2 linked regions of the Coturnix japonica genome follow. Each later gene encodes a partner of the first gene's protein in a complex. Links are inferred from orthologs where the notes say so. Each region holds a gene or a part of one and is shown on either strand. Other genes may lie near its edges. The genes, in order: POLE3 and POLE.

Region 1 (4,321 bases):
GAAGAGGTGTGAATGGGCTCACAAGCCTGCAAGGGCTGAGAATACAGCTTGGCATTACTCCCTGGCCTTTATTTGGGAGCAGAGGAGCTTTGTCTGTCCCTGGCTCTGGACCAACATCATCTCTGCTTCTATTCCAGCCCACCCCCACTGCACAATAACACAAGTTTGCCTTGCTTTGTTCTTAGGTTATGCATATAGGAAATAACCTCGCCTTCTGGCAAAACAGAGATCAACTTCTGATGGCTTTGCTAACAGCGAGCCGCCAGCTGGTCCAGAAGCGGGCATTAGCAGCGTGTGTTACAGTTACAAATGGACCAGCTACAATCGGTCATTATTTCATTAAAAAGTAATGCAACACCTGCTACAGCACTTCACCCCTGAGAGCCGCCGAATGACCCTGCAGAAGAATTGTTAACAGAAGAATACATTGAAGAGTTAGAAACGAGATTTGAGAGCGGTTTGTGTGCGCAACGATAGGCTTTGATTAACACAATTACTGTAAGTGGGAAAGCAATCAGCGCTGTCACGCACACAGTCCTTCCTCCAGCTCTGACCTTTGTGTGTCCGTAATGCTGTGCAGCACCACAACACGTTACTGTGTCCAATACGAGCTGTAAGTCCAGCTATTAATACATCTCACAACTGCTGTGCATCATCCCCAATGCTGCTCCTGCTGCTGGAAAATGCATGTAGGAAAGCCTGCACTGCCAGATCCTGCTCCCAACCTGAAGTTAGCTTAAAAAGTTAAAAGTTAGCTTAAAAACCTGAAGTTGGGAGCAGGATCTGGCAGTGCAGGCTTTCCTACATGCATTTTCCAGCAGCGGGAGCAACCAACCCAGCACAGCACTGGGTCAACCTTCTTCTTTAGCAATAGGGATTAGTGACCAATCTATTGGTTCAGCAAAAGGAATCCATGGGCTGGAAACGTTCAGCTTTAGTGAGGCTGAGCTTATCAAGGCTTTATGAGCAATGGGGGTCTCCTGAGCTGGGGGCAGTGGATGGCAGCGGGTCAGAGCCCTCAATGGTGGGCACTGGGAGCACTGAGCACACAAAGGGCCATCAATCAGCTCATGTTTATGGGAGAAAGATGGATGTGGATGCTGATGTACTGCGTGGTGTGTCCTGTCAAGTCACATTCTATGTGTGGTGAGGAATAACGGAGTGCTGCTTTGTTCCACCACATCACAGTTCGTTTTCTTTCCAGAGGCCGAATGAGCCATATTGGCCCCCCGCCGCCATATTGTTCCCCCCCCCAACGGCGGCCGCGGGGCAGGGCGGGAAGGAGCGGTGCATTGTGGGCCGTGGCGGCGCGGGAGGCCCAATATGGCGGAGAGACCGGAGGACCTGAACCTGCCCAACGCCGTCATCACCCGCATCATCAAGGAGGCGGTGGGTGCGGGACGGGCTGCGGGGCTGGGCCATACGGAGACCTCGCTGTCCCTCATAGATCCTCGTTGTGGGGTTGTGCTGCTCGTAATGCCTTACCTGAGGGCCGTGCTGAGCTCAGTGCCACAGCAGAACCGATATGTGCTCGGAGCAGCAGCTGACAGGCCTGGGTTTGGTTTCCAGCATCAGTTCACGGGTCTTTATTTGCTTTAAAGCATCAGTTCACAGCTCTTTATTTGCTTCCCAGCAGCGATTAACGGGTCTTTATTTGCTTCCCAGCTGCCCGACGGGGTGAACATCTCCAAAGAAGCCCGCAGTGCGATATCCCGAGCAGCGAGTGTGTTCGTGCTCTATGCGACCTCATGGTAAGAGCTTGTTGTGTGTATAAGCTGCTGTTAGTAACTCAGATCTCTGCTGGTTGGGCTGGGGCTCGTTGCTGGGTGTGCATCCATCGTGTATTTTTGTGGCCCCCCTCTGGACACGTTTAGAACTGTAATAAAGAAGAGTGAATGATGGCAGTTATCCATTAACTCTTCTTGTTTTTGAGCAGTGCGAATAACTTTGCCATGAAGGGGAAGAGGAAGACGCTGAATGCTGGCGATGTGCTCTCTGCCATGGAGGAAATGGAGTTCCAGCGGTTTATTGCTCCTCTGAAGGAATCCCTGGAAGGTATCGGCCTGTGACCCTATGGACGGAGCTGCCATAGCACCAAGTTCTGTTTGCTTACATCAGACAAGCAGCACTTAATTGTCTGTCCTGTAAAAACAAGACTTTGCAAAAAAGCAAGAGTTTGCAAATACTTCTTTGCTTGGCATCTTACACTGCAGCTTGTGTGGATGTTAATAATGTGCACCTTAACAGCTGGGATAACATTTCACCACTGATGAGAACTGAGAAAGTCTTATCTGCTATCAGTCCCCTCTTAGGTCTGTGTAAGGGAAGTCGTAGGTGTTGCCTGCACATGTGAAATCCTGTGTCCTATTCAGCATTTATCTGCTGAAACTTCACCTGATTTCTCACGGGCTGGACAGCACAGCTCTAATAATAGGGGGAGCTGCTGCTGTGAGTTCATTAAGTGGACACTGGGCCCCAGCTGCTGTAGTGCTCACGTGGTGGAAACACCGGCTTGCAGGTTTTCACTCTTCTTTTTCTTTGTAGTTTACAGACGTGAACAGAAGGGAAAGAAAGAAGCGAGAAAAGATAAAGACAAGAAGGCAGACTCAGAGGAACAAGATAAGAGCCGAGAAGATGATAATGATGATGATGATGAAAGGATGGAGGAAGAAGAGCAAAATGATGAGGAAGAGGTGGACAACTGAGCTTGCCAATGGGACATTCAGGGTTGGGTTTTGTTACTAGGGATATAAATGTTGTAAAGAAATCTGGCCATGTCCCGTCTGGTTTCCAGTAGAGCTCTGTACTGTTCTTCTGGAATCTCTCTTTGGCTTTAGCCTGTACACAAAGGACTTGGCTAAAGCATTTCTCATGGGTGCCTCACCTCCCTGCACGCAGGGGACTTGGCAGCTTCCCCAGGTGCTGAACAGACAGTAATGGGTCTGGTATTTTTATGCTGGATTGACTCTGAAACAAAGGGAAAAAAGAGCAATGTCGGATGGCTCAGCACTGAAGTGACCTGGAGAACCTGAAAGAGCTTATGAATAAGCTCACTCAACCAAGCGGAGAGCTGAATCCTGGCTCATTAACCCCTCAGGGTTTAGAGTCTACGTGATGATGTTGAGAGCCTTAGAAGCTGACTGTTCAAGCTCTAAGTGATGTTTTTCCCTTCGTTGTCTTGCATTCTGGCTGTGCCTTCTCTCCCCTGCTCTTTCACAGTGATGCTCTTTCAGCCTCACCAGCTGGATGCAGCACACAGTACGAGGGTCAGTGAGCTGAATTCCTCCCCTCCATGAACCAGAATAATAACAAAAAAAGACTTGAAGGTGCTTCCAAAGTGAATCTATACCAGAAATGCTGTTTTGTGTCTTTCAAGCCCTTGGAGACAAAGAGGGAACTTTGATGAACGACCTTAAGCAAAGCTACCTGCAAAATTATGTCCGAGGAACAGCAAAAGGCTGCAGCAAGTGTGTGTTGTGCTGCAGCTGATGGTCTCAGCTCCTTCCCCTCCTCTGTGGAGCTGCAGCTCCTGCAGACAGGCTGCTGGGTGCTGCTGGGTGCTGCATTACTGGTTTCCTTCTATGTCTGGGGGCTTTATTCCATGTTATTGAGCTTTCTGGTACCTGTTGGGGTGTATCCCGTCCCGGACCAGGATTTAAATAAAAGTTCAGATTCTTTACGGGTCTTGACTGGTTGATTTCCATGGTTAATCCATGAGCTGTTCGTGGTGTGAGTGCGTTGCGGTTCAGGTCACACAGCGCCCACGAGCCAAATTCCCGCCACCGGGAGCGCGCCAAGACAAGCGCGCGCCAGCCCTTTCCCGCGCTCCGCCGCGCGAGACTTGTGATATGCAAATCAGGGGGGCGGGGCTATGCAAATCTGGCTGTGTGCTGCGGCGGGAAGCGGCGGCAGGTGAGCGCGGGGTCGCGGGTCTGAGCGCGGTTCGGCCGGTGCTGCGGGGTTATTGCGGGGAGTCGGGCGACACCGCACCGAGAGCGGCCCGCAGTGCCCGGATCGGCACGGAGCGTTACGGGGCCGGGAGGTGTCCATAGGGCCCGGCCCGTTGTGGCGGTGCTGCTCGGCCCCGGGGGCTCCGTCACCCACGGGCTCGGCGCAACCGCAGCGCCGCCGGGCGGGGGAGACGGTCGGGCGGGTGTCGGGGTGTGCGGGGCCCAGGGCGGCATCAAGGACGGACAGACCTTGGATAGAGCCGGGTTGTGCCCTTGGGACCGGGCGGGCACCGGGGGTTCGGTAACGGCGTGTGGCTGTGACGGGCCGGGGGGAGCTGAGGGAAAGATGTGTCTGGTTTGAGGTCCGAAGG
Region 2 (3,807 bases), on another chromosome or scaffold:
CAGGTGGGTAATATCAGGGCAGTCTCTGTTTTGTTGTCTCTTGTATTTGATCCCCTTGAACAGCAAGGGGTGAACTTTTGAGCTTAGGGCAGGGGGCATCAAATAAGGGTAGGGTTGAAACCAAGCGTCCTCTGATACCTGTGTGTCTCTTCCTTAGCCCTCAGCGATGGTGGATGAGGCCACGTGTGCTGCCTGTGACTTCAACAAGCCAGGGGCCAACTGCCAGCGCCGGATGACGTGGCAGTGGAGAGGAGAATTCAGTGAGTACAACGGATACCTCACTGTCCCACTCAGTGAGGCCGAGTGCACTAGAGACCTTGTTGTCCCATTGGATGATGCTGAGGCTGATTCCTGCTTCTCCTCTGTTGCCCTCCTTGCAGTGCCTGCGAGCCGCAGTGAGTATCACCGCATCCAGCAGCAGCTGGAGTCAGAAAAGTTCCCTCCACTGTTCCCTGATGGAGCACCACGTGCTTTCCACGAGCTCTCCCGAGAGGAACAAGCCAAGTATGAGAAGAAGCGGCTGGCAGGTAAGAGTTAATATCATGAGCTGAGGCACAAATCAATGCTGTTCAGCCAGAACCTCATGCAGTTCTGTCCACCCCCTCTGTGTGTCCACCTCCTCCATCCATGGTGGGCACCAACTGAGAAACAACCTGTTATGCCCTTGAGCAGATTACTGCCGCAAAGCCTACAAGAAGATCCACGTCACCAAGGTGGAGGAGAGGGTCACCACCATCTGCCAACGAGAGAACTCCTTCTATGTGGACACGGTGCGAGCTTTCAGGGACCGCCGCTATGAGTTCAAGGGGCTGCACAAGGTATTGGGCTGAGTCCTGCTTTCGTTGTCCTACTGGGGATGGGGAGTTCTCACCAACTGCTGTAAGCCTGAGCACTGAAGGATGGGTTTGTTCAGCCTTTGTACTGAGTAGGGAAATCATAGAATGGTTTGAGTTAGAAGGGACCTTTAAAGGCCATCATGTCCAACTCCTCTGCAATGAACAGGGCCACCTACAGCTGATCAGGTGCTCAGGGCCCGGCCCAACATGACCTTGGGTGTCTCCAAAGACGGGGCACCCACCACCTCTCCAACTTTGCCTGTTGCTCCCAGGTGTGGAAGAAGAAGCTGTCTGCAGCCATGGAGACAGGAGATGCCTCTGAAGTGAAACGCTGCAAGAACATGGAGATCCTCTACGACTCCCTGCAGCTGGCACACAAATGCATTCTCAATTCTTTCTATGGCTATGTCATGCGGAAAGGGTGAGTCTGAGCCGGCGTTGTTGCTGAGTCCTCCAGAGAACACCCAGGATTGTTTTGGGGAGGCTGCCACTTGCTTCACCTGTTTCCATAGCACAGGGATGGGTGATCCCTGGAACACTTCTCTCTTGCTTCTATTAATGGCTTCTGATCTTTGAGACCTGTAGTGTTGAGCAGCAAGGGGCGGCAGTCTTCTCTATCAGTGTTTTCTCAGATTCTCTAAAAAACCATTAAGAAGGAAAGGAAAGCAATCTACCAAGGCACAGTGCTGCCTTGTTCCTTGCTCTTCTCCTTCTGGATGCCTTCCTGCCCTTTCCCATAGCTGGCTGCAGGGTAGCACTGCATCCCCTTCACCTGGACTCCTCTGTTCCCAGAGCTCGATGGTACTCCATGGAAATGGCCGGGATCGTCTGCTTCACTGGGGCCAATATCATCACACAGGCCAGGGAACTGATTGAGCAGATTGGGTGAGTATGTGCTGAGCTGGGAAAGAAAGGTTCTTCTGCACACAGTGAGAGTGGGGTTTGAGTGTGGAGCATAGAACCAATGGGAGCATATTAGATGCTGAAAGTGTTTCGTGTTGAAGATTCAGATTGCTGGCATTGGTGGTTGTGGTTTTTCTGCTGCCTTACAAGGGCTCACTTTGCAGAAGGGACAGGATAGTGAAGCAAGAGGCTGTGTCCCCCATACAAGCAGCAGCAGAGCTGTTATATGGTATCAGCTTCTGATTTCCTGAGTGATCTTCCTTAGGAGACCTCTGGAACTGGATACAGATGGGATTTGGTGCGTCCTCCCCAACAGCTTCCCAGAAAACTTTGTCATCAAGTCAACCAATGCCAAGAAGCCAAAGGTGACAATCTCTTACCCAGGTGCTATGCTGAACATCCTGGTGAAGGTGAGTCTCACACCCATCCCAGCCAGCTCTGCAGTCTGGGGAAATGAATGGAGGACTGACAAGGAGAGAAAGTGTGGTATCTCCTGGTAGAACCAGCCCAGCTGTTGAGTCAGTCTGTTCTTTTGGGGCTGTGCCTGCAGGAAGGCTTCACAAATGATCAGTACCAGGAGCTGCAGGACCCAGCCTCTCTTACCTACATCACACGCTCAGAGAACAGCATCTTCTTTGAAGTGGATGGGCCATACCTGGCCATGATCCTCCCAGCTTCCAAGGAGGAGGGAAAGAAGCTGAAGAAAAGGTAGGACTCAAAGCTTGAAATATAGGAAAGCGATTGTCATCAAATACCACTGACTTTTCCACAGCAACCTGTGTAGGAACACCAGCAATGTCCAGCTATGGAGGTGCCTGTGGACCTGGGTCTGAACTCAGAAAAGCCATTTCCATCCTCCAGGACCCTCTGTCCTTAAAATGCTCAGCCTGGCTGTGCTCTCTGCACATCAGACAAGTTCTAACGTCTGCCATCCCCTGTCAGTGCCTTTCCATGCCATGTCTGTGCCATAGGAATGAAACTGATGCCAAGCACTGAATGGATGCTGTACACAGGGCCCCTTCCTCAGGGCCTCCTTATTCCCTGTGGTTTCTGGGTGTTGTCGGCAAAGGAGTTTATTCCTTGGTTGTGCTCAAATGGAAATAACCTGAAGCTTACTGGTAGGCACCATCAATGGTGGAGGAAGAGAAGGCTGCATCCATACTGATGAGTTGGGCAGTCAAAGTAACGTGGGCTTGAGTATCATTGCTATTCTGTTAGCTGAGTGTTCTGTAAGATTTATCTTGAGACATGCATACAAATAAAGGGTAGGGATAAGCAAAGAAAGGGAGGAGGGTAGCGTATTCTTATAACCTCATCAGTAGCTACATCCAGCTTCCTCTGAATCATTTCACTAAGCTTACGAACCTTCCTTCTTTTCTCTAAAGCTCTTCCTGATATCTCCCCCTGCATCTCCCCCACCTTACCCTGTCTCACCTCCTGGCCTTTACTGATGTGCAGTTTGGAACATTCCCCCACTTGGTACTGATGGACTGGGGCACAAACTGTTGTGCTTTCACAGCCCAAAATGAAACAATCCATGTACCCCAGGTATGCAGTGTTCAATGAAGATGGGTCCCTGGCTGAGCTGAAGGGCTTTGAGGTGAAGCGCCGAGGTGAGCTGCAGCTGGTGAAGATATTCCAGTCTTCTGTATTCGAGGCCTTCCTCAAAGGCACCACCCTGGAGGAGGTCTATGCTTCTGTGGCCAAGGTGGCTGACTACTGGCTGGATGTACTGTACAGCAAGGTACACATTGCTTTGCAGGTTGGCTGCCCCCTGCATCCCTAAAGTGGTGTAAAAGAAGGTGTAAGAGCTGGTTGGATGCTGCGATGTTAAATCACCAAACTCTTGCTGTGTATTTGTTCCCCCCTGCCTTCAGGCTGCCAACATGCCCGATTCGGAGCTGTTTGAGCTCATCTCAGAGAACCGTTCCATGTCTCGCAAGCTGGAGGACTATGGGGAGCAGAAATCCACCTCCATCAGCACTGCCAAGCGCCTGGCAGAGTTCCTGGGGGACCAGATGGTGAAGGATGCAGGGCTGAGCTGCCGCTTCATCATCTCAAAGAAACC

The links.
Region 2: POLE3 (region 1) and POLE share a complex: the UniProt entries of both Homo sapiens proteins name them as parts of the DNA polymerase epsilon complex. The link is inferred for Coturnix japonica from reciprocal best matches to the Homo sapiens genes POLE3 and POLE.

What each region holds. Positions count from the first base shown.
Region 1 is NC_029532.1:789,348-793,668, forward strand, and holds POLE3 (DNA polymerase epsilon subunit 3), read left to right. Parts: upstream 1-1,253; 5' UTR 1,254-1,323; coding exon 1,324-1,389; intron 1,390-1,464; exon of another isoform or gene 1,465-1,525; coding exon of another isoform or gene 1,526-1,582; exon of another isoform or gene 1,583-1,599; intron 1,600-1,665; coding exon 1,666-1,751; intron 1,752-1,936; coding exon 1,937-2,055; intron 2,056-2,544; coding exon 2,545-2,705; 3' UTR 2,706-3,682; downstream 3,683-4,321. Other genes in the region: ALAD (delta-aminolevulinic acid dehydratase), read left to right, coding at 3,849-3,912. UniProt on the Homo sapiens protein: Accessory component of the DNA polymerase epsilon complex. Participates in DNA repair and in chromosomal DNA replication.
Region 2 is NC_029530.1:8,898,109-8,901,915, reverse strand, and holds part of POLE (DNA polymerase epsilon catalytic subunit A), read left to right. Parts: coding exon 1-3; intron 4-157; coding exon 158-260; intron 261-380; coding exon 381-527; intron 528-672; coding exon 673-818; intron 819-1,108; coding exon 1,109-1,257; intron 1,258-1,628; coding exon 1,629-1,721; intron 1,722-2,004; coding exon 2,005-2,149; intron 2,150-2,289; coding exon 2,290-2,447; intron 2,448-3,287; coding exon 3,288-3,483; intron 3,484-3,616; coding exon 3,617-3,807. UniProt on the Homo sapiens protein: Catalytic component of the DNA polymerase epsilon complex. Participates in chromosomal DNA replication.